Astyanax mexicanus: one gene and its partner. The protein of the gene in region 1 binds, or shares a complex with, the protein of each later gene. Links are inferred from orthologs where the notes say so. Each region holds a gene or a part of one and is shown on either strand. Other genes may lie near its edges. The genes, in order: rpl8 and riox1.

Evidence for each region.
Region 2: the proteins of rpl8 (region 1) and riox1 are in contact, whole or in part, in a crystal structure (PDB 4CCN), measured with the Homo sapiens proteins. The link is inferred for Astyanax mexicanus from reciprocal best matches to the Homo sapiens genes RPL8 and RIOX1. Residues at the interface, in NP_000964.1 of Homo sapiens: Gly213, Gly214, Asn215, His216, Gln217, His218, Ile219, Lys221, Pro222; in NP_078920.2 of Homo sapiens: Gly259, Gln260, Arg272, Thr274, Arg297, Met322, Ala323, Gly324, Ser325, Asn326, Tyr328, Phe337, His340, Asp342, Ile344, Ser374, Asn376, Thr419, Ser421, Thr422, Gln424, Tyr577.

The regions. Positions count from the first base shown.
Region 1 is NC_064418.1:5,901,150-5,917,277, reverse strand, and holds rpl8 (60S ribosomal protein L8), read right to left. Parts: upstream 10,620-16,128; 5' UTR 10,499-10,619; intron 9,128-10,498; 5' UTR 9,119-9,127; coding exon 8,981-9,118; intron 8,508-8,980; coding exon 8,366-8,507; intron 8,245-8,365; coding exon 8,026-8,244; intron 7,019-8,025; coding exon 6,903-7,018; intron 6,794-6,902; coding exon 6,635-6,793; 3' UTR 6,601-6,634; downstream 1-6,600. Other genes in the region: usp9 (probable ubiquitin carboxyl-terminal hydrolase FAF-X), read left to right, coding at 261-349, 482-638, 775-987, 1,632-1,739, 3,117-3,212, 4,420-4,557; ddx3xa (DEAD-box helicase 3 X-linked a), read left to right, coding at 13,776-13,820. UniProt on the Homo sapiens protein: Component of the large ribosomal subunit. The ribosome is a large ribonucleoprotein complex responsible for the synthesis of proteins in the cell.
Region 2 is NC_064408.1:84,759,090-84,775,217, forward strand, and holds the start of riox1 (ribosomal oxygenase 1), read left to right. Parts: upstream 1-6,181; coding exon 6,182-6,355; intron 6,356-7,454; coding exon 7,455-7,592; intron 7,593-7,674; coding exon 7,675-7,829; intron 7,830-8,820; coding exon 8,821-8,920; intron 8,921-9,504; coding exon 9,505-9,618; intron 9,619-12,653; coding exon 12,654-12,760; intron 12,761-12,869; coding exon 12,870-12,977; intron 12,978-13,926; coding exon 13,927-13,961; intron 13,962-14,090; coding exon 14,091-14,269; intron 14,270-15,267; coding exon 15,268-15,372; intron 15,373-15,500; coding exon 15,501-15,642; intron 15,643-16,128. UniProt on the Homo sapiens protein: Oxygenase that can act as both a histone lysine demethylase and a ribosomal histidine hydroxylase. Specifically demethylates 'Lys-4' (H3K4me) and 'Lys-36' (H3K36me) of histone H3, thereby playing a central role in histone code.

The DNA of each region.
Region 1 (16,128 bases):
GTTCTAAAACTTTTAACCGGTACAATATGAAGTTAGCTAAATTATTAATTAAAGTTAGTTAAGGTAATAATTTAGTTTGTTACCTTAAAGTTAAAGTTTACTATGAAACATACTGCTAACTGCAGCTAATGTTTTGTGATAATAAAAGTAAATATATGGTTTTAACAGTGACTACATAAATGTAAATGCATCACATGTATAGATTTGTTTCTGGGCATGTATTAATATATATATATATATATTTTTTATTTATGTTTAAGGTTGCATATTCCTACACATATGAGCTAAGGCCTTACCTGGACTTGCTGCTACAGATTTTGCTCATTGAGGACTCCTGGCAAACCCATAGGTCAGTCTACGCTTTTACCGCTTCTAGCAGTTTTTAATGTTATTCATTTTTTAAACAACATTGATTAACTAATTTGGTGAAAATGACTCAATCTCTCCAGTATCTTCAATCATTTTCTGTATTTCGCACCAGGATACACAATGTGTTGAAGGGTATCCCAGATGACCGTGATGGACTGTTCGACACCATCCAGCGCTCTAAAAACCACTACCAGAAAAGAGCTTACCAGTGCATCAAGTGCATGGTAGCTTTGTTCAGCAACTGCTCAGTAGCTTATCAGATCCTTCAGGTAAAACAAAGTATTAGTTATTAGTTAGTATAAGCTATAATTCAAGGCTGCACAGTGACTAAATTGATATATTGATATATTGATTATTGTGATCACATCCTCATCACCGTACCCGTCTGTTGTTTTGTGTTTATAGAGTAATGGGGACTTGAAAAGGAAGTGGACCTGGGCAGTAGAATGGCTTGGTGATGAACTAGAGCGCAGGCCATACACTGGTAATGCTCAGTACACATATAACAACTGGTCCCCTCCTGTCCAGAGCAACGAGACTTCCAACGGATACTTCCTCGAGCGCTCCCATAGTGCCCGCATGACCTTAGCCAAGGCCTGCGAGCTGTGCCCAGAGGAGGTATGGAAACCCCAATTCTTTCACTGAAATAAATCATGTAACAGTACATTTGATTACATTTTAAAAGTAGATTTAATATTGGAAGCTTGTAGTAACTAGCTTACTAGCTCGTAACCATTAGAACATCATTTGTTTTAACTGTTTTCCAAAAAAAAAATTGTTTGTTATTGAGAAATTTATGTTGAAGTATTTAGATACGAAATTTTATAATAGAGACGTGCCTTAGATAATATTCTGTTTATGAAGAGAGGAATGCATTAATTGTACATTTAACATTTTTAAATTAATTTGATTGCAAAATGCTAGTGCTGTATTTATTTACTATAGATAGGGCTTTGAGTTTTCGACAATTTTAATTTCCAGATTTTTCTTTTCCCAGTCAAAGTGTAGATATTTTGCTGTTGGCGTTTATGTAAATGAGTAGTTTTATTTACTGTGTATTTCATTACTGTTTGTTTAATTTTTTAAAAAAGCTTAATTTCTTTGATTTGCTAAACCAAGTATGCTTCGGCCTTTTTTTTAGCGTAGCTTAATAAATGGCCGTTTGACAATGTTCCATGTTTCCAAGCATAGAGCCACTTTTGACATCGTTTTGACACTTGTACAGTGTACAGTATGCATTATTAACTGCCATTTCAAACTAGTGTCACTTAATGAAGCACGAGGTGGTGTCTGAAGAGGACGCAGGCCGGAAGCCGTCCTCGCCACAGCAGCTTTTGCCAGGGGAAGTGACAGGCCAGCAGCAGCACACTGTAAGATTCGTATGCCCCGGCCACACTGGTGCCATCTGCGTAACCTCTTGGTGTTCACAGGGCATGGTGTAGCCAAATCCATTACCTTCTCCCTCTAGCAAGCAGAAAACACAGCTCTCTAAATAACTGTTAATCTCTTGTCCTCATCTCAATGTTTTTTGAACTCAAACTGTTTCTTCCTTCCTGACTCCAAGTCTTAATGTGTCACACGCAAAGTGATCGAAAACTCTAAGCCTTGGCTATAGTGTATTTGGTGACTGTCCTGTTAAAACCTGTTAAAAGTGTGTGTGTTCCAGTGCTATTTTTGTTTTGAACGTTTATTTGTTCTGATGTCTAACCTTTAATTAACCGGACACACACTTACCCAAAATTGCATGATGACTAAATAAGCTTGATAAAAGCTTTAGTGTTACAAATCAGATTTGCTTTATGACTTTTTTTGCACATAGATCAGTATTAAATACTGAACATAATTCATACTGCATGCAGAGAGAAGTGACTTGTTAAATTTTAGCCAGCTCTTTTCTGTTTTTTTGCCATGTTACCTTAAACTTAACATCGCTTGTCATGTTGAACAAGTCCTGTTAACTTTATCGTCCAGTGTGGTGTTTGTGTGTGTGTTGTGTATATTATACCCTCTTTATGTCTTCTTGTTTACCATTGGTTCCATGTGATTTAGCTGTTTAATAGTAGCGTTGGTTCTATTTGGAAGTCTAGTGTTTTAATGTTAAACCCAAATATACTTAAACATGTTCATCTAATGCCAGAGAAAAGTTTTAAAAGTCCAGAAAAGTTTTTTTGTGTAAAATTTAGTCAAATAATATACGTATTGTTGCTGTCACACAAAAAAAAACTTGTATTTTCAATGGAAGTCATTGTAAAAATATTTTATTCCATGAATAATACTGGACAGATAGAATCTATCTCTAGTAGATTTATAATGGGAAATGAACAGTGTGATTTTTTTCTTTTGCAAAAAAAAAAAAAAAAAGGAGTACCCTGAATTGATAATTAGAGGTATAATATTGTTGGCAATATTCTAAAATGGCAATAATTTTGGGCACGATTCGATATGGCACACCCCTAATTCCAAGTCACTGGAGCATAAATTGTACCATGATAATAAATGGACCAATAATAATAAAGCACAACTGCCAGATTAACATGCCTTCAAAAAGTCAGTATAGGCATTTTTTTGTGTGACAGTGATGCATTTAAATATATATTTTGAAGAGTATTTTTTGCCAAGCTCTTTTTTTACATGTCCTCATACACACACACAGGCACACGCCTTCTAGAACTAAGTCTTAAACATATCTTTCTAAAATGCTCTCTTGTGCTGAAGTTTTTTTTATTGACAAGCTATTGTTCTTTCAGGAGCAGGATGATCAAGATGCCCCTGATGATCAGGAATCTTCTCCACCAGAGGATACCTCCCTCTATCCTCACTCTCCAGGGACCCAGTATCAGCAGGTAACACTTTTTTTTTTCTCTTGCCCATAATACAAGCTGGCTTGCTCTAGGGCTCCCCCTATGGTCAGAAAGTTAGTTCACACTTTGAGACACCACTAAAGGCTATTTTCAAACTGTCAGCCTAGATCCGATATTAGGCATACATGCATTGTATCCAGATTGATTTTTTGATAGCCTGGACAGTAAAAAAAAATATATATATATAAATTCAGATTTTTACAGATCTAAATCCCATAGACCGCTGCAGTCATACATCATTTTGTAGTCCCCATATTTGGTGTTCTGTGTCTAAACTCAATGAGCAGAATGAATGGGCTTTTCAAAAAATCACCTCTACCACATTCTGTGTGGTACAGTATTCTCCTGAATATCACTGGATCCTCTGAAATACGAGATTTATTGAGATGTTTTTACAATAAAGCTATAATTACGCTAATGCTACATCACACTGATCTGACAGTATGAAACAGTGACACAAAACACCAGCAGACTTTTATAGATGTAGCACCCAGCAAATTCCTGTCATATTGAGTATTGGATTATTATTCTTATTCACAGAGGATTATTAAAGTAGTCAAATGAGTATTCAAATTCAGATGTTGAAAAGTCAAATAAGAAGAGATAGTGAGCAATACCTGCTGGAGGGACCTTTTTTTTTTTTTTTACTGGTTTTATTGTTTATTTATAGTACAACTAATTCAACCAATCAATGAACAAGCCCTCAATGAGGTGAGCTGGGTGTGTTACAGCAGGGAAATGCTGAAACAAGCAGGACTGTAGTACCCCAGATCCACATTCTGCCCATAGAGAAATTCCTCTTAGACATCGAAAATGCCAAATATGGACAAAAGCAACATGGCTCCAGCTAAAACAAAAATGATTATGAATGCAATGGTCTATTTAGAGATGCAATGCCTCATTTTAGGTTTTTTTTTGGTCAGTTGCCTTTATTTATTTATTTTTTTTCGTGTTTAGTCTGTTTTTGGATGTTCGTATTTAATAAATTCGAACATCGAATTTATGTATGGTATTATAAAAATCATAGTTACATAATTGCTTGGTAGCTACACAAACTTTATCACTTCATTAAAAACTTATTAAACAAATGTTGGACATGGGGTAAGGGGGAAATGTTTTTGGGTTTATGTGGTCCTTAATAGAAAAGCTGATTTTAAAGTGAGTTTGATCTGGTATTTGCCTTTTCCAGCAGAACAACCTTCCACACGGCCAGCCGTACACAGGCCCAGCAGCACAGCATATGAACAATCCTCAGCGCCCCGGCGTACGAGCACAAGAGAACTGGGAGCCCACGGAGGAGGTTCCACCCGCCCAGACAAAAGAATAGCACCGCGCTTCGACCCTGTCCTCCACCCGAGCGTTCTCTGGAGTCGACCGATCGACGAGCGAGGCCAGGCCCCACCATGCAGCGTCACTCCAGAACCCGCGTATCCGGAAAACTCCGCTCCCTGTTCTTCTGACCCTGGGGTGGAGCATTCACTGTCTGCCCTGCAGTACTATAACCCGCCTGCAGTGGACTGTGTATGGTGTTGTAATAAGCCAGGCCTGATGCACTTGTCTATTATGACAGCGATGTACATATTAATGTTTTTTTTTTTTTTGACTGTTCAGAACCATCAGCACCTGCTGTTTGGAAACTTGCGGATTTATGAAAGCAAAATTGAAAACTATAAAAACAAACCAAAAAAAAAAAAGACAAAAAGTAAAAGACAAAAAAAGAAAAATCCAACCCTGTTTTATCACCTGTACTCAGTTGTGAGGTGTGGTCTGCCTTTTGGCCATTTTGGTCATTCAGCTCTAAGTCATTTTATCCACGTCAACTCTTACTTAATCTAATCCGCCTCTGGAGCTAGAGATGGTTGTAGTTGTAGGCATGATAAGGATGGAATGGATGGGATTGGAGGGGATGGGATGGGTGATCCTCCTGATGCTAGGCTGATGTGAAAATGGTGACACACCAATGTTTTGGAAACTTACATTGCCTTTCTTTTGTTCTGGTATTAATTCAATCATTTGACAGCTCTAGTTAATATGCTGTAACATTTTTAGCATGGCTTCACACCGGACTAGTGTAGCCAAAAGGGAAAATTGGGATCATAACAGCTGCAGTTCTGAATCCACAGCTATTAAAGAGCCTCCCCCCTCCCTCATCTAAGACTTCTACATTGATTTTTAAACCAATGTAGGAATTAAGTGGCTTCTCAATTGCACATATATATTCTCAAACTTAACATTTGGCAGTCAGTTTTTGGTGGGAATAGATGGTTACTTTTTTTTGTTTTGGAATTTATAGGAATTTTAGAAAGAGAAAATGTATATGCAAAAATTTGCTATGCCGGGATGCCTGGAGCATTAGTGGACTGTACTCAATTTGCTTGTTTGTCTCTCCTTGGTTGAACCTTGTTTTAGACAAACTGGAATTAAAATAAATAGAAAGAAAAAGATTGACATTGGCCACTAAAGTTGACAGCAGATGCTGTCTGTTCACATTTGCTTATTCTACTTGAACATAGGCTCCGTCTGGTCTGGGGACTCTCTTCATTGGAGCGGAATGGACATAAAAAGCACGGTTGTACCATAATATAACTGCTGGTTAGTCGTGTGGCAACTTGAGCTAGGTAAAGTACTATTCTCTAGGAGTAAAGGTAAACAGCAGTCAATACTGTATGTAATTGGTAACTTGAATGCTTTTTTTTTTTTCTCTTCGATTGTTAAAAAAATACCAAATACTCCTGCAAATGAAACTGTTCTGCCCACCATATTATATTTAAATATTTTGCTGTTTTATTTTATAGAATTTATTTTGTTGTATTTCACTAAAAGAAAAATAGAATTTGATTTAAGAGGAACATTTTTGTCCTTGTGTTATTTTTAAAGATATTGACTGTACAGAGTTTTTCGCCCTGTATTTGTTTTTTTGCGCCGACTTCTGTTTTGGCCATGGTGACAAATTCTGGAGCCACAGTCGCGATGTTAACTTTCACTTTGTGAGTTTTTTTTGTGCACAGATACTACAGACAGCATTGCGCCCTTCAAGAATAAAGAAATTGAATCTTGAATGTGGTGTGTCTCCTTAAAAGTCTGCTTAAGTATTTACAAGTACTGGTGGAAACCACAGCAAACATTTGCAGTGTGCACCTTTTCTGCTTTAAGCAAGATCAAGAACCAGTGAATTTAGCTGCACTAGTGCAATTTTCTAAAGCATGACATATTTTCCCCTTTTGACAATTGTCCACTGTCAGAAACTTGGACATCTTTCCATGCACTTGATTTACACTCAAGACTTGTGGAAATCCTCCAGTAAAAAAACTAAAATACCCACTCAGAACTTCAGAATTTGAGTTTTAGAAAAGAAAACTAAACAAGGTAGTCTTTTGATGGATATTTTATTATGAAGAGACACTTTAGTTTTCTTTGTCCTGGACGGTCTTTGTTCCACGCAGTCTGCCAGTACGACGAGCAGCGATGAGACCGACCTTGCGTCCAGCGGGCGCGTCCCTCCTGATAGTTGAGGGTTTGCCAATGTGCTGATGGTTACCACCACCGAAGGGATGCTCAACAGGCTGTAGGGGTGAGGGGGGGGGGGAAAAACAGGCCAGTTAGTACATTAGTGCAGAAAAAAAAAGTTTTTGTTTTTTCTCTTTTCCTCATTAAAACCAACCAAATACTTACATTCATAGCCACACCACGGACACGAGGCCAGCAGTTTCTCTTGACCTTGTACTTGTGGTAGGCACGTCCTGCCTTCAGTATGGGTTTGTCGATACGACCACCACCAGCAACAATACCTGTTGAGCACACAGAACAGTGAATGTTTATCCTCCTGTATACTTTAGAACTGGTTTAAACTCCATCTCACAACCCAGCACTGGTACTTTAAGTTTGTAAAGTGCCAATGTTGTTGCAGTGTTATGTGCACCTGATTCAAGTTCAATAGATCAGTAGAACAGCATGTGCTGCAATGATCTTCCTACCAAAATCTCAAATTCATACTAAAACAGGATTAACCCAACGGTCAAACTAATTATTACAAATGATTAACTGTGTAAACGATTATTTTAGTATTTTTGTCCTGTTTAATTTTACTACCTTGATCTATTCTCTACAAGACAGCCGATGACAAACTTTCATATATATTTCCAGATGCAGATAAAATGTTACTTGGGTGCTTCATTTCTACTTCAACAATGTGGTTTATCCATCACAGTACAGCAAACCTTAAAATCATATAAGGAACATAAGGCTGCTCTAAATCCACACTTATAAAGGGCATATCGACGCTGTCCAATAAAAAACAAGCATCTGCAGAACAGCAAATTTATATGAGAGAGGAAAAAAAAAACTTTCAAGCCAAGTCAATGTAAAAAGTGTTTTTCCCAGCTCATTTTGAAGTACAGTTTGTCTGTTCAAATTAGTAAACAAATTTGAAAAGATGGAGATACTCGTTCTCCATTGGACAGCGATGATATCCATTGCTAATATTTCAGCTGTGAGATTCAGACATTTCTGATTGGACCTTATTTGACCCTTTCCTGATAGCATCTGAAACAACAAAAAAAATGTTGCTAGATCTGACTTTCTCCTGATACCATTCAAAATGCCCCTTTTTACTGAGGCCCAATAGTGCAAATGAACACAGATGTCCAAACAATAGTAATAATTCTCAATGATTTAGCACATCTGAGCTCCTTAAAGTCAAGCCTATATGTCCAAGCTAACCCTAGTTATAAACACGGTCATTAACCAAGACTGAAGTACGTAACCATGCCTTCCAAAACCTTTCCAAACTACTCACCGACAACAGCTCTGTTAGCTGAGGAGACGACTTTCTTGGATCCAGAGGGGAGCTTGACTCTGGATTTCTTGGTCTCTGGGTTGTGGGAGATGACCGTGGCGTAGTTTCCGGATGCGCGGGCCAGCTTACCCCTGTCTCCAGGCTTCTCTTCCAGACAGCACACAATGGTACCCTCAGGCATGTTGCCGACAGGCATTACATTGCCAATGTTCAGCTGGGCTGTAGGTCATTCAGAAGAATTTAATTTTACTAACTTCTCTGCTTACAAGCAACATGTAACATACAATATACAAAGTGATTGCGAATGAAACATACAGAAAACTGGGGAGCACCGTTTTACCTCTCTTGCCGCAGAAGATGAACTGTCCAGTGTGGATGCCCTCAGCTGCAATGAACAATTCAGTCCTTTTCTTGAACCTGTAGGGGTCACGGAACACCACCTTGGCCAAGGGGGCTCCACGGCCAGGGTCGTGAATGATGTCCTGTATTAAAAAAATGAAACAATAAAACACTTAGGGGGTTTGTTTAGGCTTAAAACTACTAATGTCTGGCCAACAATACAGGACAACTACAATTATTTTTTTCTTCCTGACAACCACAAGTTTTTTTTCCTCCATTTTTTCAGTGATTGAAAACTACAATCTTTCCTAATTATCCTGTAGTATGTGGTTTCTTCAGCCCTCCAATCTTCTCCCAGAGCAGTTATTCAACCCCACTTACATGGCAGAAATTATTAGCACTGTTCACTACATTTCAGCCATTTTTTAATCAATACCCCTCTCTTTTTCTGGTGAGAAAGCAAACGCTGTTGATGAAACTGAGTGCGCCTGATCTAACAGCATGCAGTTTTTACATTTTAACATCGGTCAAGATCTAGAAAATCCTGTACTACAAGCCAGACAAAGGCCAGTAACAATGAAATTACTCATTTGCACACATTTACATCCATTCTTACCTTCACAATTCCCTTAATGTAGCCATGGCGCTCAGCAAAGTCAATGTGTCTGAGCTTAGCGGCACCTTTCCTGAGCTTGACGTGGGCTTTGAAGACGGAGCCCGCACCTTTCCTCTGAGCCCTGATCACACGTCCCATTTTCGGGTTCTGCAGGGGGAAAAGGAGAGGTCAGATGTTTGAGTTAATGGCATTCGGATGGCAATCTTAAACTATTCAGTGCTATACAGAAAGAGACCGATATGTTTTGCTCAAGGGCTCCTATTGGCATGTGTGAACAACAGGTAGGAACTAAATTAACCCAGAAGAGCCTAGATCCATTTTAAAATATTGATGCCAAATTATGAATTGAATCGGCTCATTTGTGGGTTTTTTTTTAATTTATTTTAGGCATGACTTGATATTTTCAAGGTTAAAACGCTGTTGTGACAAATGACAACTGCATTTAAAAGGGTCTGTGATACAGGTCACTATGGGCTCTTTTGGATTAACAATCCCAGAAGTGCTTCTGGTCATTTTATTCTAAAAACCTAGCTATATGCTTATTTGGAGTTTTATCTATTAACGGTATAATATTTAGTGAAACATATAAGCCTACTGTCTGTAAACAAATACTCCTGACTATATTTAATATATATTTATTTAATACAGCTAGCTAAGTAACTGAATTCAGGAAACACACTGGTAGTCAAGCTCCATGCATCTAACTTAAACTGTAATTTAAGTTCTGTGACAGACTGCGTATAAACAATAATTTATACATATACACATCTCTCTCACTATATACTATGTGTATAAACAGTAACTGTTATATATACACGGTAATTAATTACATAAAAGATAAATATATTTAATGCAGCTAACTCAAGCTAAGTAGCTAAGTTGACTGAATTCTGAAGTCTCACATTGGTTAGCCTAGCTCCATACATCTAACCATGACTATTATAATGTATGTTTGGTCACACACTAAGCAAAGAGCAATATAAAAGAGTATATAGACTTTATATTACAGTAAATACATCAGGAATTGAAGGCCATCATCCAGTAAAGACATAAGGGCAGCCAACATTAACATTAGCTCCTCAGCCAGCTCAGTTAGCCTAGCTATAACCTGCTATAGACCTAACTTACATACAAGCTTAACACTGGGCTCTACACGGTTCTAGTTTAATTTACACAGCCTGTGCTCCATTACTAAAAAAGCACAAGGCTAAATAAACACCTAAATTAACTGAAAACAACTCTAACAACGATACAAATACTAACACTAACACCGGTCTCTCTATATCACTACTAAGCGCCTCACAGCGAGGCCTTGCCGCGTCTACACTGCAGAACAACTCAGCCCTTAAAAACACTGAATTTAACTCAAAATCACACCGATATTAAAAGACATAAGAGGGTGAACTGGGGTATAAACGTCTCCTTAACGTTTAAAAGGTGATTTTAGGAGCGGATGGCTAAAATAAAGAAGTGATTTAACGCAGATGAAGCGGAGAGACAGAAAAACAGCGCTCTTACCTAAACTCCGCTGAGGGGAAAAGGAAGCGCAGCGGGGAGAGAGAGAATTTCTTCCGGAGACGAAGAGAAAAAGAAAGAGGAGGAGGAGGAGTGACCACAGCGCCTCTCAGCGGCCTCCCTCATATATATACACATACACCACCTCCACCTGAGAGGGGGTTTAATCTCTCCACCTCCTCCTTCTTCTTCACATGCACCATCCACTTTACAGCTCCACTGAGCTTGCACCAGTGCATCTTAAAAAATAGAATATCATTAAAAATCTACTTTATTTCTGTAATTCAGTGTGGTTGGTGTGGCACAGTGGATAACACCACCGCCTGCTTATGAGCTACCACATCATATGAGAGACTGAAGTTCAATTCCCGGTCTGGGTGACAATGCTTTACTACATCAATAAAAGTCCTTGGGCTAGACTCCTAACACTACAACGCATCCCAACTCTGTAACAGGAATAACCTTGTAAGTAGTTTAAAATGTTAAACTCTCTATATATTAATCTCAATGTGTTACACACACGATCTATTTTAAGTGTTTATTTCTTTTGTTGTTGATGATTATGGCTTACAGCCAATGAAAACCCAAAAATCAGTATCTCAGAAAATTTGAATATTATATAAGACCAATCGTACTTTTGACAGTGTGGGCAGTGTGCCAAGTCCTGCTGAAAAATAAAATCCACACCTGCATAAAGATTGTCAGCAAAGGGAAGCATGAAGTGCTGTAAGATTTTCCAGAAAAAACACTGCACTGACTTTAGACTTGATAATAAAACACAGTGGATCAACACCAGCAGATGACATGTCTCTCCAAACCATCACTGATTGTGAAAACTTCACCCTAAACCTCAAGCAGCTTGGACTGTGTGTCTCTCCGCTCTTGCTCCAGACTCTGCTCCCTTTATTTCCAAATAAAATGCAACATTTACTGATGATCAGTGATTGTTTGGAGAGACATGTCATCTGCTAGTGTTGATCCACTGTATTATATTAAGTCGAAAGTCAGTGCAGTGTTTTACAGCACTTCATGCTTTCCTCTGCTTCCAGCAGGACTTGGCACACTGCCCACACTGCCAAAAGTACCAATAAAAAGTATTTTCTGTTAAAGATGTCATTCCGCCTCAGATTTTTACTAAAAGCTGATGAACACTCCCTAGTGTAATGCTGCCTACGCAGACAGGATTTTGAGACAGGAAGCCACTGTAAAACAACTGTAATCTGGCCTTCCATTTTTTTTTGGGTGAAATTCTAACTGTGAATGAAAACACAGTTAAACCTTGGCAGCACCAGAATGTACGGTTTCCTTTTGAATCAGATACAGAGACCTTCATAACATCACGTCATTCAAGTGAGACTGTGTCGGTTGCAAGGCATTTTTTATAATGACAGAAATCACAGTTTTCACATTTTATGGACACAAAAGGAATAGTTTTTGTGCAGATATTATGTTTCTGTTTCTAATCAAATTATTATTTAAATTAAGAATCTTAACTTCAAGTTAAGATTATATATATTTTTAAATGTAGAGTGATCTGACGTTCAAGTTAAAGTATATGAAAATGCAAACATTTGTTTTATTGTAACTTTAAAAATATCTCTAAAGTCTTAAAGTCTTAATATATATATATATATATATATATATATATATATATATATATATATATATATATATATATATATATATTCTCAGTGGGCTGGGATGGCATTGAAACAGTGTAGTGTAGTGTAAAGACTGGACAGTAGAGGGCACTGCTGGATTATGATTTACCAAATTCATCTGTTTTCATTTTTTCAACCTGTGTTTGGTCTCTCTATGCAAAACCCATTAGATTTAAAAATATATTTTTTCTTTATAGTCTGGATCACTTTATAGGGAAAAAAATAAAAAGATTAAATGAGAAGGTACTGTATATAATTATTTTTGTATTATTTAATACATATTTATACACTATAAGAACATGGTACAAGCTATAAGAATATAAAACAAACAATACATGCTCATTTTACTTAAACATATACCAATAAATAACAAAATCAGAGAAACTGGTTCAGAAAATGAAGTGGTCTCTTATTTTTTTGTCCAGAGCTGTATATCCTTCAGGAATCTTGTTATTAATCTAAGTGTGGATATGATGAAATATCACTGTTAGTAATCATAATAAGTACAGCAGCTCCTCGTGCTGTGTGTGTATAGGGATTGTGTTTAAAATATATATAAAGTTGTATATTATTAAACTGTATTTAAAGCTGAAGTCTGTAAGTTTTGGGATTTGGGGGATTTAGTGCCCTCTCTGGTGAGAATGCGTAATTGCACCGAGCATGCGGAAGAATCATTTTAAACTGAGTGGGTGTGATGCTGTCTCCTTTCAGAGTGAATGAATCCGATTCCAGGTTATGTTCAGTCAGAAAATGCTGAGGGAAGTGTCTTCAGAAGATGTAAGAGAGTTACAGTTTTATATATGGATGTTAGTTTTGTCAGTGTAAATGAACAAGCTACTGAGCTCTGGGTTTCCCCTTCTGAAGTCTCCATTGCTCCACCAGCCGCTCGCGTTCAGTAAAACTGAGCCGGATCCTCTTTTAGAGGCTGAACATGTGACGTAAGACGTAAAGATGAGTGGAGTGACTGTGCCAGAAGAACTCAAAAACCGCAAAAAGCGACCCAACACCACCGTTTTTAGAATGAATATATTAGGCTTAGCAGGGATGGTCGTTCCAACACACTGGTACATTTAAACACAATATTTTGTCCCTTCTACACTCAGAAATGCTTCTGCTTTTAGTTTAGAAACAAAATAATATGTACTGCCACTTTAATTAGTATTTCTGTTTACACAGCTCTCACACAGCTCTGTTGCTGGGTAGAGTTCCTCTCGCGATATTTCTATATATCCGTGTGCTGCTGCAGCAGCCAATGAAATCTCGCGGTGCTTGTGTTCCGAGAACAGAACGTCGCGAGGCGCCGCTGGTGGACAAACGAGCCGGTTACAGTTAAAAACCTGCCGCGCCGATAAACTTCGGGCTCGGGTTTTATTATTATAACCGTCGTTATTATTGATAACCGAGGCTGTACGTAATAAATTCGTATTAGAGGAATTGAGTAAAGGCGCTGGGCTCGGTTTTTGCGCATTCGTTGTGGAATAAACGAAGAGAAGAGGACGAGTGACGTCGTTTCTAAAGGAGACTTGGCTGTAATCCCTGCGCTATCTTTAGGTTAGCTGACCTGCTAACAAAGAAAGTCTTGTGTCAGAAGGAGAAATCCCCACTCATTTTCTTTAGTTATGAGTCATGTGGTCGTCGACAGCTCACACGGTCTAGATCAGCAGGTAAGCGGGGTCATGAACGTCGTGTAGCGGCTGTAGATTATTCAGTTACTCGCTAATTTTGCACTTTATTTCAGCAGGATTCTCTATCGGCTGTCTGCAGCCTTGTCGGTGTTCTGTCAAATTGTGCTACTCTGTCAAAACGTGCGACCATAACATAGTGAAGTTAGCTATATAACCTAACCATTTAACGTTAGGTAAATCTGCCTAAAAACAAAACAAACAGTAACGTTAGGTAGTTAGCTAGTTAACCTACTTAGCTATGATATTTCAACATCAGCATCGTGTCAGATTCTCCCAGCTATAGTTGTAGTTATAGCTATATAAAAGGTGTTTATTGTTTAATGACTGACTGCACCATCTATGTTAGCTAACCTACTGCACTGTTCTAGATTGTATCATAGTTTTATAGCTACCCTTTATAGCTATATGTGCATATATCAACTCATATCCAACCATTCCTGTGTATTCGTTCCTTGATGGTAGCTGTTATCTATTTAGTTAGCTAAATACTAACCTAACTATCTAGTTTAATTGTGTTTTTTAACGCTCTATGGCATGATATTATTACACCACCCCATCCCATACCTTATTTTTGATGTATGTTATGATATTTCTGTTTGTTTATATTCTTACAATATTCTTACGTTCTTTTAACATTAACCACGTAGATCACGTTTGTAAGGGACAACAATATAAAGCAGGGGTGGTTAATATAAAAAAAATTCCAAATAGTGGTGCTATTTTGTTTCCTTCCTAAATATACTGTTCATGCAATAGAGGGTTAAGCTACTAGTTGCTTTAATTTCCTTCGGGATCAATAAAGTATCTTATCTATGTATGTGTCTTATCTGTTTATCTAGCTAAAACAATTTTCATTAGATAAGCTAACCTATTTGGATAACATAATTCATCACTAGCTTGATAACCTAACTATTAAATATTTTAGTTTGAATTGCCATTTGTTTTAACGCAAATCAAGCCAATGCTAGTTGACAACAGGCAGAATTACACAAACTGTAAAATTAATTCAAATAAAAGTGAAATATCACACAACATAAATAAATATGGGTGTGCGCATGCGTAGAGCTGCTAAGTAGCTCATATCAATAGATAGCACGACTCGACAAAACACCGGGAGGCAGTGTCATGTTTCTTGTGCAGATGGTTTAGATAGGCTAGCGTTAGTTAACTAAATTTAATTCTGACAATTAACATAAGCCTTGTGTAGTTTATCTAACCTGTCGTTAGCTAGATAAGCGTATTTAACCTAGATATCTGCTCAGAAAATCGAGCTAACCTGGTTTCTTTAGCCAGGAGTTGCTGAATGCTGGGTTGCTGGGTTAACTTTGTTGTGAGCTGGAAGATGTGTTTTTGTCTCTGCAGTCACTGCAGTATTTCGTTAGTAAGCTGTCATAACAGATCTGTGGTGATCAGGGTTAGAGAGGAGCTGGAATAGGATCAGTGCGACAGGCAGCTACTGAGTTCACCCCCTCCCCCAACAACATCTTGTCACCACCACTACCACTACCACCACCACCGTTCGTCGGACATTTTGTTCGCCTGATTATTATTACACTGTGCAACCTGCAAGGAATTAAGGCATATTTAATGATTTTATGATCTATCCGTGCATATTTAATCTGATGTTGAATGCAGTGTTTCTAGCTAATCGTTTACAGTGTTATTCACTCAGCACCAGTCAGATCACAAGCAGTGCACAGTGTATGCCCAACAGTATGGCAGGCCGTTTCAGCATAAAATCACTAGGGCTGGATAATCCAGGTCCAGAAGTGAAAATCCACCCCAGGATTTTGTTTCAATTACCTGGACACGAGACCAGACTTCAGCAGGGCGCGCGGGCAGTTGGAACAAAATATGGAAACCCTGAAATGGATATTTACTTACTGGACCTGGATTATCCAGCTGTAAAAAATCACACAAGCAATACTAGTCAAGTCAGCTTTTACTATAGTTAATATAAACTCAAATAATACTATGTAATTAGATCAATGTAATTGACTTTTTGAGTTTCTTTTTTCTTTTTTTTTCTTTTCTTTTTATGTATTTGCTAGTTATGTCAGTAGTTATGTAGTTTGTCTTCAGATCCATAAAGCTGCTCAGACTAGTCACATTACCAAGATGACACATCCCTAATGCAATTAATGCATTAATGACTAGTCATATAGTCATATGTAACCACATCTTTTACCAGTAAAATAATGACCATGTTGTATTGCTTACTGCTGTAGCCTCTAAAAATATTATCACCAGTCAAAATATGAATTGTAGATATAGCTGATATCTGAAA
Region 2 (16,128 bases), on another chromosome or scaffold:
GCACCCCTGTTTGAAACGCTGATTTATAAAAACTCATTTATTGTAAAGAATCTGTTTAAAATCAAATCAATTTTACACACTGTAAGATCCAGGCCAGTCATGCTTAGTGCTGATTATTATGCTTACTGATGATTTGATCATAACCCACCTTAGAATGGTTGATATTTAATTTAGTGAGGTATATGTTTCCCTAGTTGCCTGCACAAAGGCAACCTTTTAATACTGATAAAACGTCTAAACAAGCACCATCAAATCACACTGATGTTCTTTTGGCCTGTAATAGGAAGAATACCATCTCTTTTATTGCTACTTTGGGCTGCTAGTTGCACTACCTGTATTAACTCTGTATTATTACTCTAACATTCAAGTCCACGTGAATCTTTTACTTTCTGTGATATATCCCTCAACTTCTTCAGAAATGCGGTGCAGTGCGTGCAAATTTCACTTCCTGACTGTATCAAGCTCTGGGGTTGTGCTGCACCACAGTAAACATTTCAGTTGTAAAGGGAAAAAAAGTTTTTTTTCGTAAAGGCCTCTACAGCAGGATAATGATTCTAAACTTAACTTTTAAAGGTCCAAACTTTTGTTTGGCAAAAGCTCTCACAGTCTTTCAAACTTTACATCCTCGGAAATCTGCTGACAGACCTCAAAACAGAAGTGCATACAAACAGCTAGAAGAACCTTACAGAATGAAGTGTTTAGTAGTGGAGAATTGGCAAAAACAAACAAACAGACAAACAAGAATTGAAAGACTCTTGGCTGCTATAAAAAGCATTTACAAGCTGTGATGCTTGCCAAATTGGGTGTTACTAATCACTGACCATGCAGGTTGCCCAATTCTTTGCTTCAGGCCAGTTTCCTTTTTGGTATTTTGAACTGTAAAATCTCAAAATATATATATTTGTTTTTGACCAGGAGTGGCCAAAGTCTCGAATGCCATTGATTATATTACCATATATGATGGCATGGTCTAGCATAATCTGACCATAACCGCAATGCTAAAAACAATGATAACACGTAATAAATTCACATTTTGCAAATTTACTGTCTACATTAGCATTTACAAGTAGAACTATCTATGATGATATAAGTTGGCATTAAGTTATCATTATAGCTTCAAACACATTCACAATGATCATCACATATATTAGTATTTTACAACATGAATATGCAATTTTAAAACAAATGTATGCATTAAGTATGCTATTAGTCTACATATCATTATCCAGTAGTATTAACAAGTAAATTGAGAATTTGTGCTTTTCCTAGTTTTGTGATGCAAAGACCAGCCCAGTTTCACTTTGCTGCCATCACATATGATGAGCATGTGTTTGGGAAGCAAAGAAAACAGAACGGGGGATGGGGGGCAGTTAGGAAGGGAAAAAAAGTGGCTTACGCAGTTTGGGATATTTAAAGCTGAAGTTTAAGCCTGAATAAATTCTTTCTCACACACACACTTCACAGCTCAGCCCCGTGCCAACACCACAAGAACCACCATTTATCTCACACAGACTCATCCTTGAGCACAGCTGACTTCAGCAGGGCATTTTTCAGAGGTTGGAATTTGTGCAGATGTCCTGCTTCCTCGTAGATAAATACTGTGCAATTATTCATCTGGTGCTATATAAAATGTTTCCGCCTACTGACATGAATATATGCGTCCGGTGTGCCGCAGCAGATGGACAGCCCCCGGTGATCAATGACTCCAGGAGCTGCGGTACAAAGAATCACTACAGCTCCTGCAGAACAATGAAACTTTTTTACTATGCGATCAATACAAAACCTGTGACTCCTTACCAAAACATAACAAATAAACACATATTTACAAATCACTGAAATCCTGCATCACAGAACACTGACATAAAAATTCCATGCATATTTCCAGGTCTGTGTCCAACTTCGTGTCAAATTTCCCACCCAGCTGACATGTGCCAACACATTTCAGTTGCTGTAAACAAGAGGGGCTGAACTAACAGATAAGGCGCAGTGATCTGGATGCGCCTTTAGGGATGAAGAGCACCTGAGAACTGTTGTCTTCTGCTCTCAACTCTAACATTTTAGCTGAGTTTGCATTCATTTAAAGAGTTTATAAATATAACACTAATTCTTAAAGCAACCTGGAATGCAGACTTTGAAAAGAACACTCAAACTAATTTTGTTAGAATACTCATACCAAGCTGCATTAAGTGCTGCCATAACAGTCAAAAAAAAAAAAAAAAAACAGGAAGCTCAGTCCAGACAACACTTAAATCTTACATCTGTTCAGTTAGCTAACTATCTAACTATCTAACTAACTAACTAACTCAAAATTTATATTACATTGAATGCTCATAAATTCTGAACAGGCGGCTCATATTTGTTACATAATATATACATTTAAAATGCTCAAATTGAGCAATTGTGAATTAATTAAGTTCTGAGCAAAATGCTCACAGTAAATAGAACCATTTTCTAAATGTTCAACAGAGCCACTTTAAACAAACACTCATTTCACAAATTAGGAAATTTCATACATTCAGACCCAAGAATGCATAAACAAATACTAATTTCCAACATAACATACACATGCTGGAAAATACGCAAAAATGTCTAATACAATAACAATATCACACTTTGCTAATTGCTAGAACTGTGCTTACAGTTCTTAAACTATATCTCAACACCAATGAAACAGAACTCTCCAATTCTCTGAAGAGCGTTCACACTTTAAGTAAATACGAATTCCACAAAAAGTCTCCTACCCACAACTCTAAATAAAGGACTAACTAACTACCTAGGTTAATTAGGTACACTTCTATTATTTGTTACAGCTTGGCACTCATTTTAAACAAATGTTATTATTCAAAGGACAGCTCTGGAAGAAAAAATAAGAGACCACTTTATGATTATGTTTTTCCTTGATTTTGCCAAATTGAAAACCTCTGGAAAATAATTAAGAGGAAGATGGATGATCACAAGCCATCAAACCAAGCTCGACTGTTTTGCACCAGGAGTGGCATAAAGTTATCCAAAAGCAGGCTGTAAGGCTGGTGGAGGAGAACATGCCAAGATGAATGAAAACTGATTAAAAACCAGGGTTATTCCACCAAATATTGATTTCTGGACTTTTAAAACTTTATGAATAGGATTTTTTTTTTTTGCATTATTTGAAGTCTGAAAGCTCTGCATCTTTTTTTGGTATTTCAGCTATTTCTCATTTTCTGCACATAAATGCTCTAAATAAGAATATTTCTATTTGGAATTTGTGAGAAATGTCCGTAGTTTATAGAATAAAACAACAATGTTCATTTTAGTCAACATATACCTATAAATAACAAAATCACAGTCTTCAGTAATTTTTCTAGAGCTGTATATGTAAAGATGTGTGAAGAGCTAAAACAATCAGATTTATTCAAAAACTGAACCTGTACTAATATTTGTGTACGGAATAGCTAATCATCTAGATAACTACCTAGCTAAAAACGCCTAGAGTACAAGACACGCAATACGCTAACAGCAGTGGAAGGCTACAGATGTGTGTAAAGATCTGAACCGAATTATTGGACTGTTCCTAAACACTCTAGTTAGTTAGTTTAATGTCTATACCTGAGCTACATCTGTCTCTGTGGGTCTGCTCTCCGGTCGCTGTGCGCAGGTTAGTTATAACCCGAGCTAAAGCTACAGGAACGTCAAATCCAGCCAGACGCCGCTTTAACGCGAAGCAGCATCGATTTAATTGGGTCTGTAGGATTAAAACACACTTCAGATTAAGTATTAATCTGTCTCGCGTTCTGATTTAAACCACAAAACAACTGAAACGACAGAAAATGGCGAGATAATGGTGATAAACTGGGTTGAATTCGGCTGTTTCTGAGAAATTTTCCGTTCCACCTTAAATGGTGCGGCACGTACGGTGAGGTGCCTCGGGCGCTTTGCTGTACGTGCCGCACCATTTAAGGTGGAACGGAACAATTGGAACAAGCAGACAACTTCAGCTTCGTTCACACAAGACCATATGCTGCGCTTTAACGCGCTCCTCCGGCTCGTGTTTGAGGGGTTTAAGGTTTTCTAGGATCTAAAACAACAGGCTAAACAATAACACAGAAGCAGCTAAGATAGCTTAGCCACCACTAGCCCAGCTAACCCCGTTAGCAGTGGAAGGAGGAGATGTGTGTGAGCTGCGTCTCTCTTACCCCGGTGTGTGAAGAAGGAGCTCCGCTGCAGCAGCAGCAGATCCACGTCTCCGCACAGATCCGCCGCAGATCACGGACCGTACAGACGACCCGGAGCACACACGAGCTGATTCACACCCAGCCCTTACACCTCCTCCAGCCGTGTAACCTCCCAGAGCTTCTCCCCGGACCCGCACAGCATTGTTAGATAGCTAGATCCAGCTCTGCAAACACTGCGAGCGGTGGTGCATGCTGGGAACGGCCACTGTTTGCATTGCTTGAGCATTACAGCATGGTGCACTAGCGCCACATGGTGGCCACGTGCCCGCACGCCTCCCCCTTCATAACGGAGGACCTCTAGAGAAAAGAATACACATTTAAAGGAGAATTTCAGTGTGAAATGGAAATGGGCTGTAGTAAAACATGATAACGAGTACGAACTTCATTCTCCTTCATTCTCCCCCAGCTTTCCAAAATACAGTGCTTTTAGCTGATGCACCTAACAGGCTTATAGTGCTAGTTTTTTGTAATTTTTATTTCTATTTTTTATTCCATTTTTTCCCAATTTACATGACCATTAGGACTCCCCTATCATGCCCGATGCCCACCAGGAGGGTGGAGATCAGCACATACCTCCTCCGATACATGTGAAGTCAGCCATCGCCGCTTTTCTAACTGCTTCTAATGCAGCATTGCTGAAAATCTAGCGCTCTCGGAGTGACTTAGTCCCAAAACATCAGCTTACAGACGCCTTGTGCCAACTGACATCACCCTTTGTAGTGATGTGCGGAGAGAGCGCCATCTACCCTCCCAGAGAGAGCAAGGCCAATTGTGCTCTCTCAGGGCTCCGGTAGCCAATGCTGCTGAAGCTCAGCCAATCATCTCTCCCTCCTACCCTGCCTCTAAACCTATACATCACCCAGTTTCTCGCTCAAACAACCTCTCCTTTTTCTTTTAGCATTTTTTAAATTTAGGCTGAGGTGAAGTCAGCAAAAGTCAGGGCCCCTTTAAACAGTTATAAGCCTTTTAAATGCACTGCAGTATATGGAGTATATGACAAAATAAATTAATAATAAATAAATAATGTTCTTCAAAAATCGTTTGCTGTAGAAAGTTATCTTTGGCTTTTGGTGATTATATCATTCTACTTTCTATAATTAAAGAAATATCCCAGGCAAAAGTTAATTATTGTTTTTAATTTGAGCTTTTAGCCATTCAGCTTCATTCATCCCCATTGAGGACTTACTCGCGGGCTCCCACTAGTGGTGTGCGGTAATTTTCTAAAATAACAGCTAGGGAGTGCGCAGGCTCTCCATGAACCAGCTCCAGTAGTAGCACTAACTGTACTAAAACACGATAGAGTGTATTTGTGCTTCTTTTTAAATGCTATGATTTAATAAAGTGGATATTATGGTTTTTTTTTAACATGGTGTTTTTACAGTACAGAATCTATAAGATAACATTGGAACATTATGTAGGGAAAAGGATGAAAGCCCCTTTTGTGCTCCACAGCAGCAGGCGGCAGTAACACATGCTCAGCTCATGCTCGGTTACACGGAGAGAGAGACACACCGCCTGGGTTGCCAGGTTTAGTACATCAATCCACGATACGGGTTGCTTTAATTTAAAGCTGTTTCTTTAACCCTTTTCAACCCATTCAACCCTGGTTGTGCAGACACATCTCCTCCTTGCACATTTTAGTGTTTTTCCGAGGGCATAACTGATATCGTATATCATATTGGATCATTGACATCTGGAGAAATCTTGTGAAAATTGTTTAATGTCGAAATATATGTGACAGAACAACAAAACATTGCAATATTGGCTTTTACAATATCATACAGCCATAATTTAAAATTATATATTAGAAATATATTTTAAAAGATGAATCACATACTAAGTAATTCACAATGGTGAAATGATCAAAGTACTCCTATAGTTAGTGTAGTAGTTAAAATATATGTTAAACTTTATTTTTGAAAATTGAATTAATTACACTATTTGTATTAAAAAATGTAGTTGATGACTAAATGACTGAAACCCTCAACGGGGAATTGGTAGCGGGATCTGGTAACCCAGCTCCGCTGAGCCCTGCCCTGCTGCTGTGCTGTGCTCGTGGTGTAGTGCTTTATGGCAGCGTGGAGAGAAGCATGTCTGCCTTCGCTTATTATCAGTCGTTGGCAAAGAGCTCAGCACAGACACAGGTACACCCTGATCTAACACTGTCATTTACAATATGAGCAGAGGGGGCTTTAAGGCGTTAAATACACCGTGTCTCCGTGTATAAAGGTGTGCTTGGGTTAGTCTGGTAACTTTAGCAAGAAATGTGACTCGATTAACTAATTAATATAAAGAGTTCTGAAAGTTAACGTTTCATCGATTTAAATAAGGAATAAGTACAGCACATGGACACACCTTCACAAAAACAGCCTGAATAGAAAAACAAAAGTAGCAGCTGAACCAGTGAGTTCTAACCTCTAGACCTGCAGAGGAACTTCATTACCAGTTACTCCAGCCAAGATTTGTTTTGTTCTTCACATTTTCTGTATTATTTTGCTGTAAAATAAAGCACTAAATCTCCGCAGTGATAAATGTAATCAACGAATAAAACAGAGAACAGTTATTTTTTAAAAACTTGTATTGTGTAATAAAAATCTAAAAGTCCCAAAGTAAATGGTGTGAGCTACAGCCAATCAGTTCAGGAGCTGGACCCACAAAACAGAACCAAAATATTTTTTAACCCAAAATATAAATTCTACTATGAAATGTGGGACAAGAGAGTAGAATATTTAAGTCTGACTGACTTGTAGCTATGTAACATTTCTCATACTACTGCATTGGTTGCTTTATTTATTTCATAGGATCTTTTAGTGATTGTAACACTAGTGCTTGTTTGTTAAGAGATTGATTGTGTTATTTTAATGTACATTACAGTTACTTTAAAACCCATAAAACATTAAATAACAACAACAACAAAAAAATTATGAATTAGAAAGTAATTAAGAGCTCAATATGATCGACTACAATTGGCATGAGAAGGAATTCAATTTCTTTCCACACTCATAAAATCCCAAAAGTATAATAATTTGTATTTTAATTATTTATTTATTTTTAAATATTTAAATATTTGCAGCTTTTTTTTACACAATAATAAAAATTCACCTTAGATAAAAATGGAGTGAATTAGGACAGTCTATTTAAATTACACTGGCTTTTGAGATTCTAACCCTGTGATATATAAACATACATTAACATTGTTTATCAGGAATTAGAAAACAACTGAATTTTACTTGATTTCTGCAGGTTTCTGCTGCAGAAGTGAAGAAGAAGAAGAAAAAGAGGAAAAACAATGATACAGAACCAGAAATGAAAGCCAAGAAAAAGATTAAAACTCTCAACAAAAAGGCAAAGGTGGAGGAGAATTCAGAAAAGGCTTCAGCTGTAAGTATTTGCAACTTCACACCATTTATAGCGTTTTGAAGCTTTTTGAATGCATTAAACTAATCACGCAATTGCGATGCAGGAGGAGCAGTGTCCGTTAAACGGACTTGGGCCAGTGAAGGCTGAGAGTCTTCACACAGTCCTTACCAATCTCAACAAAGTCAGCAACAGCAGAGAGAGAGCCAGCAGACTCTTCCAGTGGATAATCCATCCTCATCCGGCCAAAACCTTCTTCAGGTAAAACTGCACAACTGTTATGTAGCTTAACAGCAAAACAGCACTGAGAATGCAAACAGGAGGAGGGAGGCGTGGCTGAATGGAAGGGTGTGGCTGAATATGAAGCACATGTTTTGGTCTGAGATGTGATTGTGAATATTTTGGTCTAGAGGCTTAAATGATCAACTACACAACCTTTAAACTAGGGCTGGGCGATATTGTAAAAAGAAAATAATTTCCATCATTATGAGCGATTCTTGATTACGGTTTTTAGTTTTTCTTTTTTTTAAAGTGATGCGCAGGCTATTGTTTCATTTACATTTCATTTCAACATTTGTTTTTAATGTTGTAATGGATGTAATACTCTGTCAGTTATTGGATATTGAATAAGTTAAATTAGATTTGACGGATATGTTCTTATATAGTTAACTATATTACTTAAAAAGACTCTATTTGGATGGGAAACACAGGGAATTACATACAGTGCTCACAATAACTATTTTAAGACACTGCATTTTGCGACACAGAATTATGTGTTTATTGGCATTAATTTCACAGAATTTGACAACCAACATAAAGCAATGTACAACAAAGTGCCAAGCTTGGTTTGCTTATGTCTCTTTAATACAAATAAACTGACTGAACCTCTTTCACCTGTAGCGTTATTCCAGTGTTGTAAAATAGCCATAAACTGACGTGAATTAGAACATTTCTGCTGCAGTTAAAATGCGTAGAATTTACACAACTACACTACACCAAAATCTTTCAAACTGGGTAATATAAGCTTATAGGAAAAAAAGACATCAAACTATGATTACAAATACAAAATAACTAATATCTGTGTTTGACACTACATACCATATCAATAATGTATGGAACAAGAATGTTATACAGCATATATTGCTGTTTATGTATTGTCCCACCCCCAGTAGTCTCTGAAATGCTGATCCAGGCAGATTAGCACAGATTTTTTTTTACATGTTATGATTATTACATTCTTTTTTTTTTGTAGGGACTACTGGGAGAAAAAGCCACTTTTGATCAAACGACAGAACCAAGAGTATTACCAGGGACTTTTCTCAACAGCGGAGTTTGACAAAATTTTGAGAAATGTAAGTATGTCTGTGTAATCAAATACAAACATGTTAACTAGTCTTTCCAAATTAAGTAGCTTTAATGGAAATTCCTAAATGAAATGTTCACATATACACTAATTTCTGCAGTTTAAATCCAGCCATTCAGTTATTTTTGTTTTGTTCAGTATAACACTGTTCAGTTTCCCTGATAGGGATTAAGCCTAGTCTTGGTTACACAGCATTATGAATGTAGATTTTCCCTTGAAAGGAAAATGTAGTCTATGACTAGACTTGATCCCTCTCTGAAAAACTGATTTTTAATGTGCATGCATATATAGAAAAGTTTATATGAACAACTACATTTAAACCTGAATGCTGTGCTGCATTGCACTGTCCATGTTTTTAAAAAGTCATTTTTTTGTATGCTGCATATTCTTTCATTTAACAAAGTATCAAATTGGAAAGACATTATGGTAAGGGTTTGATTCTGATCTGTTAGTTGGATTATTAATCTGCAATTAAATATAGCCTGTGTTTGTTAGCACTTCTTGAAACAGTAATAGTTTTTATGGTTAATTGTATAATGTGTGGTTCTATTAATCTTCTTCATGTTGACTCAGGATAATGTCCAGTTTGGGGTAAATCTAGATGTAACCAGCTACACAAATGGCAAAAGAGAGACACACAATCCTCCTGGGAGGGCCCTGCCATATACTGTGTGGGATTTTTATGAGGTATGTTACAGTTCTGATATATGAATCTCTTCTTTAATCATTGCCATTTGCCAGATTACTAAAATATGGATACCTTGACTTCTATACAAATTCCTGAAGTGGAATATTTCAAACTTTTTTTAAAATTAAACTTAATGTGTGAAAAAATTAATCTCTTTAGTAAATGGAAAACAATTAAAGATGCAGTGCTGTCGTTTTGTATTTATATTTGTATCTTTATATCTTATGCTGATTTTTTTAGACAGATTTTGGAAAAAGCATTTGCTCATTTGGTTCCGCTCTTTTAATATATATATTATATATATACAGGTGCTGGTCAACGAATTAGAATAATTTGAAATAGTGAAATCATGACATTTTTTGAATGCATTTTTTGTGCAGAAAGCAAATCAGGTGTTCACCGCACCTGTCCTACTCGTTAGACTAATCACAGAACTCGTTACCTGGAAAAAAATTTGCTCAGCTGAGCTTTCCAAAAGGCCCATTTAGGCCATTTAACTGTGACACTGTTGTTTTATTGAATTAGAATAATGGAGAAACCGTTTCATTGAATTAGAATAAATGCTCGAATTTTTGTTTTCTGTGAAGAGTGTTCACTGTGCAGTATAAAGTCAGGGTTGAGTAGAATTTCTAAGTTGTAAAATCAATCATGGGTAAGCAGCGTGACCTCTCAACCGGAATAGTGGCTCAAATTCAAGCCCTTCGCCAACAAGGCTTGACCCAAACTAAAATTGCTGAGCAGCTCGGCATCAGCCAGTCTTCCGTCTGCAAAGCTCTCAAGAAAAACTGCAGCAAGCGCACCAACTGTTCCGGCGTCCGAAAAACTTCTGCTCGCGACAACAAGCAGCTGAGAAAGATCGCAGTCAGCAACCGGTTCAAGTCCACTCCCGAGCTCACCGACTTGTGGAACAAGCAGACCGGCGCTGACGTCTCCAGATCAACCACTTACCGTCGTCTGCGCGAACTCGGCTTCAAATCTCGCGTTCCAGCAGTAAAACTGATGCTGAACAAGAAACAAATGGAGAAACGGCTGAAGTGGGCCAAAGAACACGGCGAGTGGACTGCTGAAGACTGGCAGAAAGTGGTCTTCAGTGACGAATCACGCTTCTGCATCTCCTTCGGTGACCAAGGTCCTCGTGTCTGGCGTCGTGGTGGCGAAACCTACAACCACGAGTGCGTGAAAAGATCCGTCAAGTTTCCCCAGAGCATTATGGACTGGGGATGCATGTCCGCTCGAGGTGTAGGGAAACTCTGCTTCCTCAAGAAGACCGTCAATGCTGCCGTATATCAAGATGTTCTGGAAACGTTCCTGATTCCGACTGTTGAGGAACAGTTCTGCGAAGAAGACTTCATATTTCAACAGGATCTTGCACCGGCTCATGCGGCAAAGTCGACCAAAGATTGGTTCACTAAAAAACAGCTTGAAGTTTTGGCATGGCCGGCCAACTCGCCTGACCTCAATGTCATTGAAAACCTTTTGGCCATCGTCAAGCGGAAAATTCGCGACAGAAAGCCTACTACGCTGGACCAACTGAAGCAGAACATCGCCACTGCCTGGGAAGCTGTGAGTGCGGAAACTTGCGACAAGCTGGTCAAATCGATGCCGCGGAGACTTCAGGCAGTCATACAAGCCAAGGGGGCAGCCACAAAATACTGAGAAAGTGATGATTGTAATTATAATAAAAATTATTCTAATTCAATGAAACGGTTTGTCCATTATTCTAATTCAATAAAACAACAGTGCCACAGTTAAATGGCCTAAATGGGCCTTTTGGAAAGCTCAGCTGAGCAAATTTTTTTCCAGGTAACGAGTTCTGTGATTAGTCTATCGAGTAGGACAGGTGCGGTGAACACCTGATTTGCTTTCTGCACAAAAAATGCATTCAAAAAATTTCATGATTGCACTATTTCAAATTATTCTAATTCGTTGACCAGCACCTGTATACTATACTATACTATATATATACTATATATATTATACTATATATATTACAGCTAAAAGATTTGGCAGAGGGAGAAGTGGGAGGTGCGGTGGGTGGGGTTTGAAAATTGTAAAACAAGTGAGCCAGTTTCATGTTTTGGGTCCGCCCCATCTTTTCTGAGTCTTTGTATTGTTGTTGCTCAATAAAGAAATTTTATATATATAAAAAAAAAGATTTGGCAGAATTTCTGGATACTTTGGATGTACACATACTCTACATTAGTGGGGTCTAAGTTTTTGTCTTGGGGTGTAAAGTTTTTGGATGGCTGGTGCCCAAAAACAGTACACTTGATTAGGCACCCCTGGTAATTTTCTGCCAAATAAAACATGCTCATGAGCCACAAAGTGGTCAAAAGTTGTTGTTTTTTTTGTCTTTTTAAATGAAGGGTGAAAAAATGATGTATCCTTCTTTTATCAGAGTGAGGGTTTGTTTACAGTCAGTGACACGTGTGCAAGTAAGGTCAGGATGTTGGATGATCACCACGCCACATCATCCTCAGCTCATCCCAGAAGTACTGGGTGAAGCTTCAACAGAGAACATTCCACTGCTCCACTGCTTCATAGCTCAGTGCTTCCAAACCTTATTTATATATTTTTACTGTATTTTCTGCATACTGAATAATAAGCGATGCTATTAGACTCCAGCAGCAGACCCCACAGACTCCTGAACAGAGCTGGAGCTGATTTTGATGTCAGCCTGAATTATAGATAATGATGACTTTTTTTGTATAAATGAAACCAGTCACGTCATCTTCCAGCTTTCGGTGATGCTAAGTGATTCTGACTCTGTCAGTCACTCAGTGTGCTGCACTCGTCAGCAGAAAGGCCACGGTCAAAACCAGCCCTGAAAGCGTCTAGGCTAACCTGTGTGTGTATGTCAGAAACTGAAATGCTAAACCCCCTACATGTCATTGCCTATAAAATAATACTCAGCTGTGTTTTCTTACAACAATCTCTCTGTAATATATTACATTTTAATAACAGTGTTGTTTTAAATATTAGCACATATCTAATGACAGTATTTAATGTGTGTGTTGTTCTGTTTTGTTCTCAGAGTGGCTGTTCTCTCAGGATGCTCAACCCTCAAGCCTTCTCTTCCACTGTATGGAATGTTCTGTCCATCCTGCAGGAAATGTTTGGCAGCATGGCAGGAGCCAACGTGTAAGAGAACTAATCTCATATGAGGGACATATATAGATGTTTTTTGTCTGTTTTTAAAAATCATATATCTGACTCACATTTTCATATTTTAAATATTAATTACTTGCAGATACCTGACTCCAGCAGGAACACAAGGCTTTGCTCCTCATTATGATGACATTGAAGCATTTATTGTGCAGTTAGAAGGGAAGAAGCACTGGAGAGTGTATAACCCACGGTGAGTCACAAGACACTCACAGGAGCAACTGTATATGTTTACCATATATTACCGTTTCGAAGCTGAAAGGAATTTTCCATTCTCATAATCCATACATTAAGAAAAACAGCAAAAACAGACAGATTTGAAAGTACTGTTTTGGAATTTTATCAAAATTGCAAAAAAATAAATTATTGTGTCAAAATTAATGATAACAATGTTTTGGTAGATAAACCAACACAAAGGTTATATGGTGACCTCAAAGAAAAAAACAAGTGCAAGAAAAATGTAGGAGATGGCCCACAAAAAGATACAGATGAATAAATAAGTGAATGAGCAGATGAAGACTGGATGTGCTGTTCTGATATCTCCATGGTCACAGTAGCTCTTGTATCAGCACCATAAGCACCACCATGGTTGCTCAGGTAACCAGCAAAATCAGTTCTATCCAGAAAAATGTCTTAGTACTTACCTGACTCCCTATTTATAAAATTAATATATATAGGGCTTTGCAGGAATAGTAGCTAAAGCACACTGATGCTATTTATTATAAAAATGTTGTCCCTTTCTCACGCAAACACTTTAAATGCTTTAAATTTGAAAGACAAAATCTTAAGGTTTAATGGTCTGCTGCTTTAAATGGATGTCACAGTTTATGTAAGTTATGCAAGGTGAAATAACTTCATTATGTATTAGAGCTTTAAGAAATGCAATAATATATATATATATTTTTGAAATAAAAGAAAAGCATCAGGCGCATCATTGAGAGATTGCTGGAGCTTGCAAAGATCTCTCTCTGAATAGGGAAGGATGGGACTTAGTGTGGTGCTAGTCAGAGCAGGTGTCTCTTAGCTGATGTAAAATAACTAGCAGTTAGTGCTCTCCTCCAAGTGTGATCAGCTGTTCAATGGCATTGTTTTAGTGGTATCTTAACTACTGGCTCCAAAACTGTCATTCTGCTGTATTGCAGGTCTGAAGATGAAACACTACCTCTCGTGTCAAGTCGTAAGTAGTTCTTCAGTTTTTACTATTATTTTTGGTAAAAATCTTTGTCAATCTTTAAGTAAAGTTTTAGTAACTGAACACTGAAGAAATGTGATTTTGTATAATTCTTATTTCTACTGCTCTCTGAAGCTAATTTCAGTCAGAATGAGATTGGAAAGCCCATATTGGACGTGGTTCTGGAGGCAGGTGACCTGCTCTATTTTCCACGGGGTTTCATTCACCAAGGCAACTGTCTCCCAGATGCTCATTCTTTACACATTACCATCTCCTCCTATCAGAGGAACAGCTGGGGTGACCTGCTACTTAAGGTGAGCTTAAATGGAAATATTCAATTTTGGATTTTTCTTTGTTTTATAAATAATAATAAAAAGTCCATTGCAAGTTGCTGTTTGATTGAATCTGTCAGAAACCAGGAAAAAAACATAAGCTATTAGCCTTAAAAGAATGACAAATTTGCAGATGCGGTACTTTTGATGCTTTTGTTAACATATTGCTGATAATGCAGTGCCAATAAGGAACTTGCCTTCTTCCTCTCCAACTGATAGATTTGTGTGTCTCTGTCATCTTCCTCTTATCTCTTAATTGGTCCATATCTGTCTATCGTTTGTGTGAAACCGAATAAAAGACTCTCATAAAATATCTAAGCACTTATTGATTTGTTTAGTTTAAAAGTGAAATAACTTTAGATGCAGCCATTTAATTTAACATGCTTCTTCAGCATAGAAAAGAATTTCCAGATCTGTCCGGGGACAACGGATGAAAAATAGCCTTTAGGCTAATTCTGGTGCATTTACAGTAATGCTATTTAATGTACACTGTCCCTGTTAAATAAACTATTAAAATTAAAAATTAGGCTCTGGGGCACAATAGAAATCCGTAACCCTTCATCATAGCATTATAGCTCTGGTTGACAGTGACCTGCTATTTTGGAATGATGCCTTTAAAAGAGCAGAGTCCATATGATCAGGAAATATTTGAACCATATTTCTGCACTGTATTATTGCAAAGATATAAATAGAGACTTTGAGATGGCCAGCAAATTTGTGGACTTTAGTGGGTTAAATTAAGGTGATGCATAAAGAGCTGGTAGAAAATTATAATTAAGAATAGTGTGCTAAACCAAAATATGCCACTGTGTCCAGAAATGTACTAAATCTAATAGGCCGCAGAACTGAAAGCACAGTCAAATGAACTGAAAACATAGCAGAGAGATTGTCTAGTGTCATGCTTAACATTTAATGATGTGGAAATATTTTATTTAATGACTTTGGAACTTGTGTTTATGTTTATCCCTTGTGATTGACAGGTGATGCCAGCAGCTTTGGAAATGGCGATGGAGGAGGATGTGGAGTTTCGAAAAGGGCTGCCGCTTGATTACCTTTCCTTCATGGGAGTTCAAAACTCTGACAAGGTGAGGGCTTATTGACTAATCCCAATACATCACTGATGCATCCATGCACACAAGGGAAATATGTTTAAAGTCTTAATTAACTGCATATCACTTACACATTCATTTTGTGTGTTTGTGTGTGAAAGCAGGAGGATCCACGCAGAGACAGATTTCTTTCCCACATGGACGGCTTAATGAAGAAGCTTGTGTCTTACGCTCCAGTGGACGCAGCTGTGGATCAGAAAGCCTTGGGATTCCTTCATGACTGTCTACCACCCATGCTTAATGCAGGTAACCCTTAATAAGGTCTATACTTTTACTACTTAGATTAAATTTTTTATTTTTTTTTGTAATCATCATCTTGTTGGCTGAAACTCATTCGAGGTTATTATCAAATATTCATGTACACATGTACAACATCAAATACACTGAGATAAGGGATAGCAGCATGTTAATTGATCTTAAAGTTGTGAGGAAAAAAAATTGTGCGTTAATGGCAAGGTGAAATAAATTATTTAAGTTTAAAAAAAGGTATTTAGAGAATGCATAATGGAAGTCATTACAAGCCACAGTGAATAGCACAGTGGGTGGTAATGATTGTGAACGGTGGTGTTTGGCTAAAATTTCCATGTGCAAAACACATCCTCATTCAAAGCAGGAGACCCACATGCATATCCTACAGGTCAGTGCAGCAGTCTTCAGCTTATATGGGACATATATGGCAAAAATCATGGAACATTCTATACTAGTTTCTGCCCCATGACTTTAGGCATGTCC